Caenorhabditis elegans: one gene and its partner. The protein of the gene in region 1 interacts with the protein of each later gene in a pairwise test. Each region holds a gene or a part of one and is shown on either strand. Other genes may lie near its edges.

Evidence for each region.
Region 2: the proteins of C16C8.11 (region 1) and pfd-2 interact in a two-hybrid assay, tested with the Caenorhabditis elegans proteins (one large-scale study listed by BioGRID).

What each region holds. Positions count from the first base shown.
Region 1 is NC_003280.10:3,451,702-3,455,306, forward strand, and holds C16C8.11 (Ubiquitin-like domain-containing protein), read left to right. Parts: upstream 1-2,006; 5' UTR 2,007-2,163; coding exon 2,164-2,244; intron 2,245-2,294; coding exon 2,295-2,778; intron 2,779-2,830; coding exon 2,831-2,910; 3' UTR 2,911-2,987; downstream 2,988-3,605. Other genes in the region: gldi-6 (Ubiquitin-like domain-containing protein), read left to right, coding at 1-191; C16C8.12 (SKA2 domain-containing protein), read left to right, coding at 1,030-1,110, 1,158-1,616.
Region 2 is NC_003280.10:4,325,036-4,329,003, reverse strand, and holds pfd-2 (Prefoldin subunit 2), read right to left. Parts: upstream 2,285-3,968; coding exon 2,015-2,284; intron 1,015-2,014; coding exon 859-1,014; 3' UTR 720-858; downstream 1-719. Other genes in the region: mog-2 (putative U2 small nuclear ribonucleoprotein A'), read right to left, coding at 3,137-3,668. UniProt on the Caenorhabditis elegans protein: Binds specifically to cytosolic chaperonin (c-CPN) and transfers target proteins to it. Binds to nascent polypeptide chain and promotes folding in an environment in which there are many competing pathways for nonnative proteins.

The DNA of each region.
Region 1 (3,605 bases):
CTAGTGATATGAAAAAGCAACAAGAGACTCAGATTTTGAAGAGACAAGACGAATATCACGACGAGATGAAGCAAGAATTTCAAAAAATCCAGGCAACTCAAAATAAATTGATCGAAGATTTGATGTCGGAATTGAAGACTGTCAAAAATGAGACTAATGATATGAAAAGGAATCTCAGGAGAAATCGATGAATGATCTTCTTATCAGGAATTCGGATAAAAATCTGGAAATGATGTTGAAAATTCAGGAAGGTCAAAATCAAATGATGATGAAGATTATGCAAAGATCAGCTGTGCATGACGTCCCAATTGAAACTGGAGAATTGGCAAAGAATGTCTCATTTTTTTATATTTTTGTTTACTGGTCCGATTCGCATGGCACATTAGCGTCTGGAAACTATCGAAATCTTTGGGTGCGCGGATCGGACACAATTCGACAAGTCAAACTGACCATCAATTCACTTGCAAACGTAGATATCAGCTCGTTCAGAATGGTGCTTCGTGGTTGCTTGGTTGCAAAATAGCTGTAAAATGAAATTTGCATTTCAGATAAAGTTCTCGAAGACGACCACACTCTCGCCTACTACAACATTCAAGAAGGCTCAACACTCGGTCTTTTCTCCCCTTAAATTCTAATTTTTATCGACTTTTTCTCTAAAAGAATGTATAAAGTTCCCATCTGCCATTATGTAAATAAATAATTTTTGACAACAATTTTTTGGATGTTTTTATCGCAAACAACGTTTTCAACAATCATTCGGATATTTGATTTGTTCAAAACAAAAAATGCAAAAAAAAAACAATTTTTTATGCGCGTATTTTCAGGTGCATAGTCCGCAAACACGTTACGTACTCCGCCACCTACCGTAATTCCCTGTGAAAAATTATCTGAAAATTTTTCTTGTTTTTTGGTTCTTGTCGAGTTTTTTGAGAATTTCCAATTATTTTGCGAGTTTTTTTTCGAATTTACTTGAAAAATTATGGAAATTAACGAAAATTATCAAAAAATGTGTGTTTTCTAGATTAAAAAATGTCAGAGCCAAACAATTTGATGTCCGAATTCCAAAAGCTCTGCGCTGAAACTTCGAGAATACAGAATGAGTTCAGAGAGGTTTAATTAACTAACTAACAATTTTAAAAATCAATTTATTTTTCCAGATACCCAGCTCTGCGGGGAATGCACTGCTCAAGGACACTCAGGAGATGTGCCAGAAGATTTTGAAGAAACAAGACGAACTTCACGATGAGATGAAGCATGTTCAGGAAAGCTTGATGTCGGAGTTGAATTCTGTGAAGAATGAGCTGAAGCATGCGAAATCGATTAATGATCTTATTGCAAAGAATGCTGATAAAAATCTGGAAACTTTGCTGAAAATTCAAAAAACTCAAGATCAAATTATGATGAAGCTTCTGGAAGGAGACGCTATGGAGAAGATGGGAGGACTAGTTTTGAAAAATATCCCAGACGAGCCTGAAAAGCCTGAAAAGCCTGAAAAGCCTGAAAATGAAAATTTCTCGCTCAACATCAGTCCAGCTGCGTGGAGAGTGGACTGTTTACACCACCGGCAAACTCTACCCGCTTCTGGTTCGCGAATCGGATACAATTCGTATTATTAAACTGCGTTTCAACACTCTCGCAAGAATGTTGTATGTGGATACCAGCTCGTTCAGAATGCTCATTGATGGTTTGTTTCTAGCCGGAAAACTTTAAAATTTACAATATCCCATTTCAGATAAAGTTCTCGAAGACGACCACACTCTCGCCTACTACAACATCCAAGAAGGCTCAACACTCGGCCTTTTCTCCCGTTAAATTCTAATTTTTATCGATTTTCCCTTGAAAAAATGTAAAAAATGTATTGTTCCCTTGTCATTTTGCGAATAAACAATTATTAACTAGAATTTAGATGATTTTTCACTAAAAAAAACATTCATTTCAGGTTTAGAATTAATTCCAATAAAAAAAGACAAATTTTTATGCGCGTAGTTTCAAGTGCAAAGTCTGCAAACACGTTGCGTACTTCATAGTCTACCGTAGTTTTCAGCTTTTTTTTGGTTTTTTTAAAAGTTTTTATTGTTTTTTCAGCGAAAATCCTTGAAAACTTCGATTTTTCCTGGGATATTTCCACATATTTCCTTCAAAAAACACATTATTCTCCAGAAAATGGCCGATTCGAACGATTTGATGTCGGAATTTCAGAAGCTTCAACAGGAAACTTCCAAAATTCAATCACATCTCACCAAGGTTATTATTTTTTTATTTTTAAAAACAAATTTACAAATCTCACATTTCAGGATTTCCTCTCAAGCTCCGCTAAGCTTTCGGAAAATCGTGTCCTTCAGGCCACCCAGGAGCTTTGTGGAAAATTGACGGAAAAACAAAAAGTTCAGGATGATACGATTAACTTGTTGCTCTCGGCGCTCGGCCAAATCCAGGAAAATCAAAATAAGATTTTGAATCAATTTGCATCAATGCAAAGTCAGCTGGATATTGTAAAACGCCGTCAGGATGCTTATGAGCGGGATTTAATCCAACAAAAACCTTCAGTTCCGGAGCAAAAAGTCGGTGAATCGTCGAAAAAGTCTCCGAGATCTGCAGAATCAGCTCTGAAATATGTGGAGACATGCACCAAAGTTGTAGATCTTTGTATTGCCGTTTCAATGCCTGGAAGGCTCTTCTCCATTGGAGCCAATAAAATGGAATCCGTTGAACAGTTGAAAATGAAAATCGAATGCCAAACGGGAATTCCACGCACAAAATTTTGGCTCAGACTTCACGGTTGGTTTTTCAAATTAGACTTATTTTTAATAAATGTTTTTCTTATTTTCAGGCAAACCTCTCTACGACGACAAGAAGCTCGCCGACTACAAATGGGATACCAGTGTTGAACTGCTAGTTCGTGCTTCCTAATTAATATTTTTACGAATTACTAATCTGTATCATTATGTGTTCCTTTTTTTTGAATGAATAATGATCTGAAATTGCGACCTTGTAAAATTAAATGGTGAAATGTTGAGAAAAAACAGATTGGTGACTAGAAAGGGCACTTCTGCTGGAATCGATGTGTTCAATAAAAATTCGCCATGTTCCCTGCAAGCGAATTTATTGCGCAAACGAGAAAGATTGCCGGTAGCAGGTCTCGACAAGACAAAATTTTGCTAAATTCAAAAAAGATGTGCGCCTTTAAAGAGTACTGTAGTTCTAAACTTTCGTCAATGCGGATATTTCATCTATTTTTCGCTATTTTTCAATTTAAAAAGTGTGAATTTATTGAAAAACACAAATATATTTTTTTTAAAGAATCGTGGTAAAAACTGTAAAATCAATTTAAATTCCACAACAATGAAGTCTGAAACTACAGTAATCTTTAAAGGCGCACACCTTTTCGCATTCAACAAAATTTTGTCGTGTCGAGACCGGGTTCCTTATTTTCGTTTTTTTTTTCGGATACGTGTGGATTTACGCAGTTTGTGTACTCCTCGAGGACAAGTTTGCTCATTTTTTTGTGCATTTTACAGTTTTTCGTAAACTACTTGGTTTAGGACCATTTTTGCAATTTTTTCCATTTATAACCATCCGTGGACAGCACCTCGCGGCCCCCGACT
Region 2 (3,968 bases), 870 kb from region 1:
GATTTTTTGTTGAAAAATCAAAAAAAAAATTCATCGTTTCTTGATTATTCGGTATTTTTTGAAATTTTATTGGAAAATTTCCATAATTTCCAATTAATTTTCCGACTTTTTTGAAAGAATTTCATTTTTTCCATAATTTCTTCTTTTTTCTCGATTTTTTGTTCGAAAAATCGATATTTTTTTCATTTTTCTAAAAAAATTGAGAAAGTTCGAATTTTTAAAACTTTTTTTGTTGAGTTTTTTGACTAAATTTATTGATTTTTCTTCACTTTTTGCAGTTTTTTATAATTTGAAACATGGTTTCCCATTTTTCCAGACATTTTTTCTCAAAAAACTGTAAAAGTACCCTAAAAATCGATAGTTTAACATTAAATTATACTTTTTATGGGAAAAAATTTGAAAAAAAAAACCATTTTTTAAGTTAGTAATCAATCAAAAAATGACAAACTTGAAAAATAGTTTTTTTTTCAATTTTTTTCGCAAAAAATATGATTGAATGTTAAATTATCGGTTTTAGGCTACTTTTTCAGTTTTTTTCGAAAAAAAATTCTGAAAATGTGAAAACGATGAAAAAATCGATGAATTTTGTTGAATAACGGGGAAAATATCGAAATTTGGAAAAAAAACTTATTAAACCAAAAAATGTTTTTTTTTTCAAAAAAAAAAAGATAAAATTGGATTTCAAAAACCATAATAAAGCAGTTAAAAATCGAAAAAAAATTCAAATTCAATTTATGCAAGACTTAAGTTCTTTTAACGGGAGCATATAGAAAAAAGGCAACAAACAGAGTAAGAAAAAACGTATGAAAACATGAAAAAGCAGTAGGAAATCGAGAAAAAAATTAAAGCAGGGGAAATTTAAGCTTTTGGCAATTGTCCAAGAGCTTCAGCTTTTCTCAGCTCGGCAGATTCTTTCTCAGTGAGCAGACGAATGTTGTGTGTAGTTTTGTGAGTGTTCAGCTCTTTTCCCTTTTCGACGAGCTGATCGTTGAGCTGCTTCGAGACGATTGTCAACTGCAAAATTTTATTATTTTCGGTAATTCTGGTCAGTTGCACCATGTTTTTCTGCTGAAAATTTGTGACAAAATATAGAAAATCACTCGATTTCTCTTTAAATTACACTATTTTCAATCGAAATATCCAAGATAGAGCTCAAAAATTGCCTGAAAGTTGAACAAAATTCAACTTTCAGACCATTTTTGACCGTTTTCTCAAATATTTTCGTTGAAATTACTGTTATTTTAAGATTAAACCGTTAATTTTCCATGTTTTGACACTGATTTTCAATGAATTTTCGCATTAAAAATGGCAAAATGGCTGTGAAATCATGGTCTTGTGTCGATTTACGCAGCTCGTGTACTCCACGAGGAGAAGTCTGTTTTTTTTTTCAATTTTTTGTATTTAACCATATTAAAATCGTATTTTTACAGTATTTCCCAGCGCAAATTGGGGGTTTCGCTATAAAAAAAACGGAAAATCTGGTTTTTTTTTTCAATTTTTAGGTGTAAAAACGCGAAATTTTGCGCTAAAACTACGATGTCTGATCTCGACACGACATTTGTTTCGAATACATGACGCTGCGCACCTTTAAAGAGTACCCGAATTTGCAAAGTTTCCATCGATTTGTTTATATTTTTTCATTCGATTTGTTAAAATTGAAGTGTTTTATCGAAAAACTACGGAAAATCAATATAAATTCCACAAATTTCAAATTACAGTACTCCTTGAAGGCGCATAGCTTCCAGATACCGTATTTTTGGTGCAACAAATCGGAAAATTCAGTGTTTCAGATGAAAAAATATTTTTTTTTGCTTCAAAAAACTGTCAATTTTCATCGGAAATACTGTAAATCCCCAATTTAAAACGCGTTAAATATAGAAAAAAGGTCGAAAATCAGGTATTTCAGCCGGAATCTGTAAAATCTTCTCCACGAGGAGTACACAAACTCCGTAAATCGACACATGACTGTTTCCTCCGCCTTTTCTTCTATTTTTCCCGACTTTCAAATCCTCACATTAGCGATATTATTCTGCAAATCCGGAATAACATCCTTGACAGTATACTCGACAAGTGTATCACTAATCAAACGGAAGCATTTCTGATCCGGTTCAAGATCCTTGATCACTTCGAGAACACGTCCAAATTCACGTCGTTCCTCTTCGATTCGAGTCACTTCGGCGGCGATATCCTGTTGTTGATCACGTAGAGCCTTGAACTTTTCGACGACTTTTCGTTGCTCTTCTTGCTCGGCTGGAGTGGCGGCGGCGGTTTGAGCGGCCGACATCTGGAAGTTGTGGATTTTTTGAAAATAATTGTTTTAATGGTAGAGAGCCAGTTTTTTTTTGGTTTTTTTTGCCAAAACTGACCAAAAAAAATTTTTATAATTGAAAAAAAAAGATTTTTCAAAATATTTTGCAAAAAAACTAGTGAAAGCCGATTTATTTTTGAATTTCTCACCGATTTTCTACATTTTTGTATTTTCCGGCTTTTTTTATCGGTTTTTCATTGTCACATTTTCAGTCATTTTTCAGCAAAAAAAGTTGAAAACTCTAAAATTAGCCAAAAATCGATAGTTTTTGTGAAAAAAAAAGTCTAAAATTATCGATTTTTAGGGTAATTTTAGAGTTTTAACGCATTTTTTTAAGGGTTTTGAAGTTTTTTTTTTGCGGAAAAATGACAAAAAAACACAAAAAATGGATTATTTTAGGCGAGAATTCAAAAAAAAATCCGCGTTTTTTCCAATTTTTAAACCTTTTTTTTCCAAATAGATATTTGAAGGCGCTGGGAAGTTCCCAGTGGGAACCTCTCAAAATTAATAAAATAATAAAAAATAGCCGGAAAACACAAAAATGGCTGAAAAAGGATTTTTTTCTAACTTTTTGTTGCAAAAATTTCAAAAAATCAAATATAAAAAGGCACGGGGAACCTTTGAAAAATCGATAAAAATATCAAAAATAATAGGGGAAATATTGTTTTATGGTATATAAAAATTACAAAAAAAGGGAAGACAGACTGGGAAAAAATTGGAAAAAAATGAGAATATAAATAAAACAAGGAGTATCATTTTAACATTAAAAAAATCAAATAAAATAAATAAATAAATTTTAGCAGCACATTCTGCAATTTTCAAGATTTTTCAAGACTCCATCGCTTCCCCATCGGCACCATTCTGATCCATCTGACGATTCCATCCCTTTTCCGGAACCTTTCCCGATGCCAGAATCGACTGAAGATAGTTGACTTCACTGAGTGACTTGGCATTCTTGATCGCTTCCTTGATCTTCTCCCGATCTTCATCAGTAAGCCGAGCACCTCCACCCGAACTATTCTCATTTGGTTCAATTTCTGATGGATCTTCTGTATGAACACTCTTCTGAATCGCATCTCTCGCCTTCTTTCCACTTTTTCCTTTGAACATCTTCTTCGCAGCTTCACGTTCTGTCAGTCTGACTCGATTGAAGTCAATCACTCGAACCGTCGGCAGCTTGTAGATCATATACATCCGATAATTGTCCTTGTGAGTTATCGGATTTCCGATAAATGTCACGTACTCGAGCTTCTTGCATTCTGCCAGTGGCTCAATGTCTCCGAGCTCGCAAATGTTGTTGTTGGTCAGTGCAAGAGTTTTGAGATTTGGAAGTTTTGTGGCAATGTCGGGTGCGATATAGCTGAAAATATGGGGTAAATTGGTGGGAATGGAGCTCGAAAATGTGGGAAAAAAGCAGTTTTGCAATGAAAAATGGAGGGTTTTTAATTTTTTTTCAGGAAATAGTAACCATAAAATTTAAATTTTTGAAGAATAAATTAGAGAAAGTATTTTAAAAATTTGAAAATGACCAAAATTTTAGGATATTTTCTGAAAAATCGATTTTTTCCCCTACTTTCCGAAAAAAACTTCGATTTTTCGAAAAATGGCTTAAAATTTTTCGAACTTTTTCAGGAAAAAAATTATATTTTTCCTATGTTCT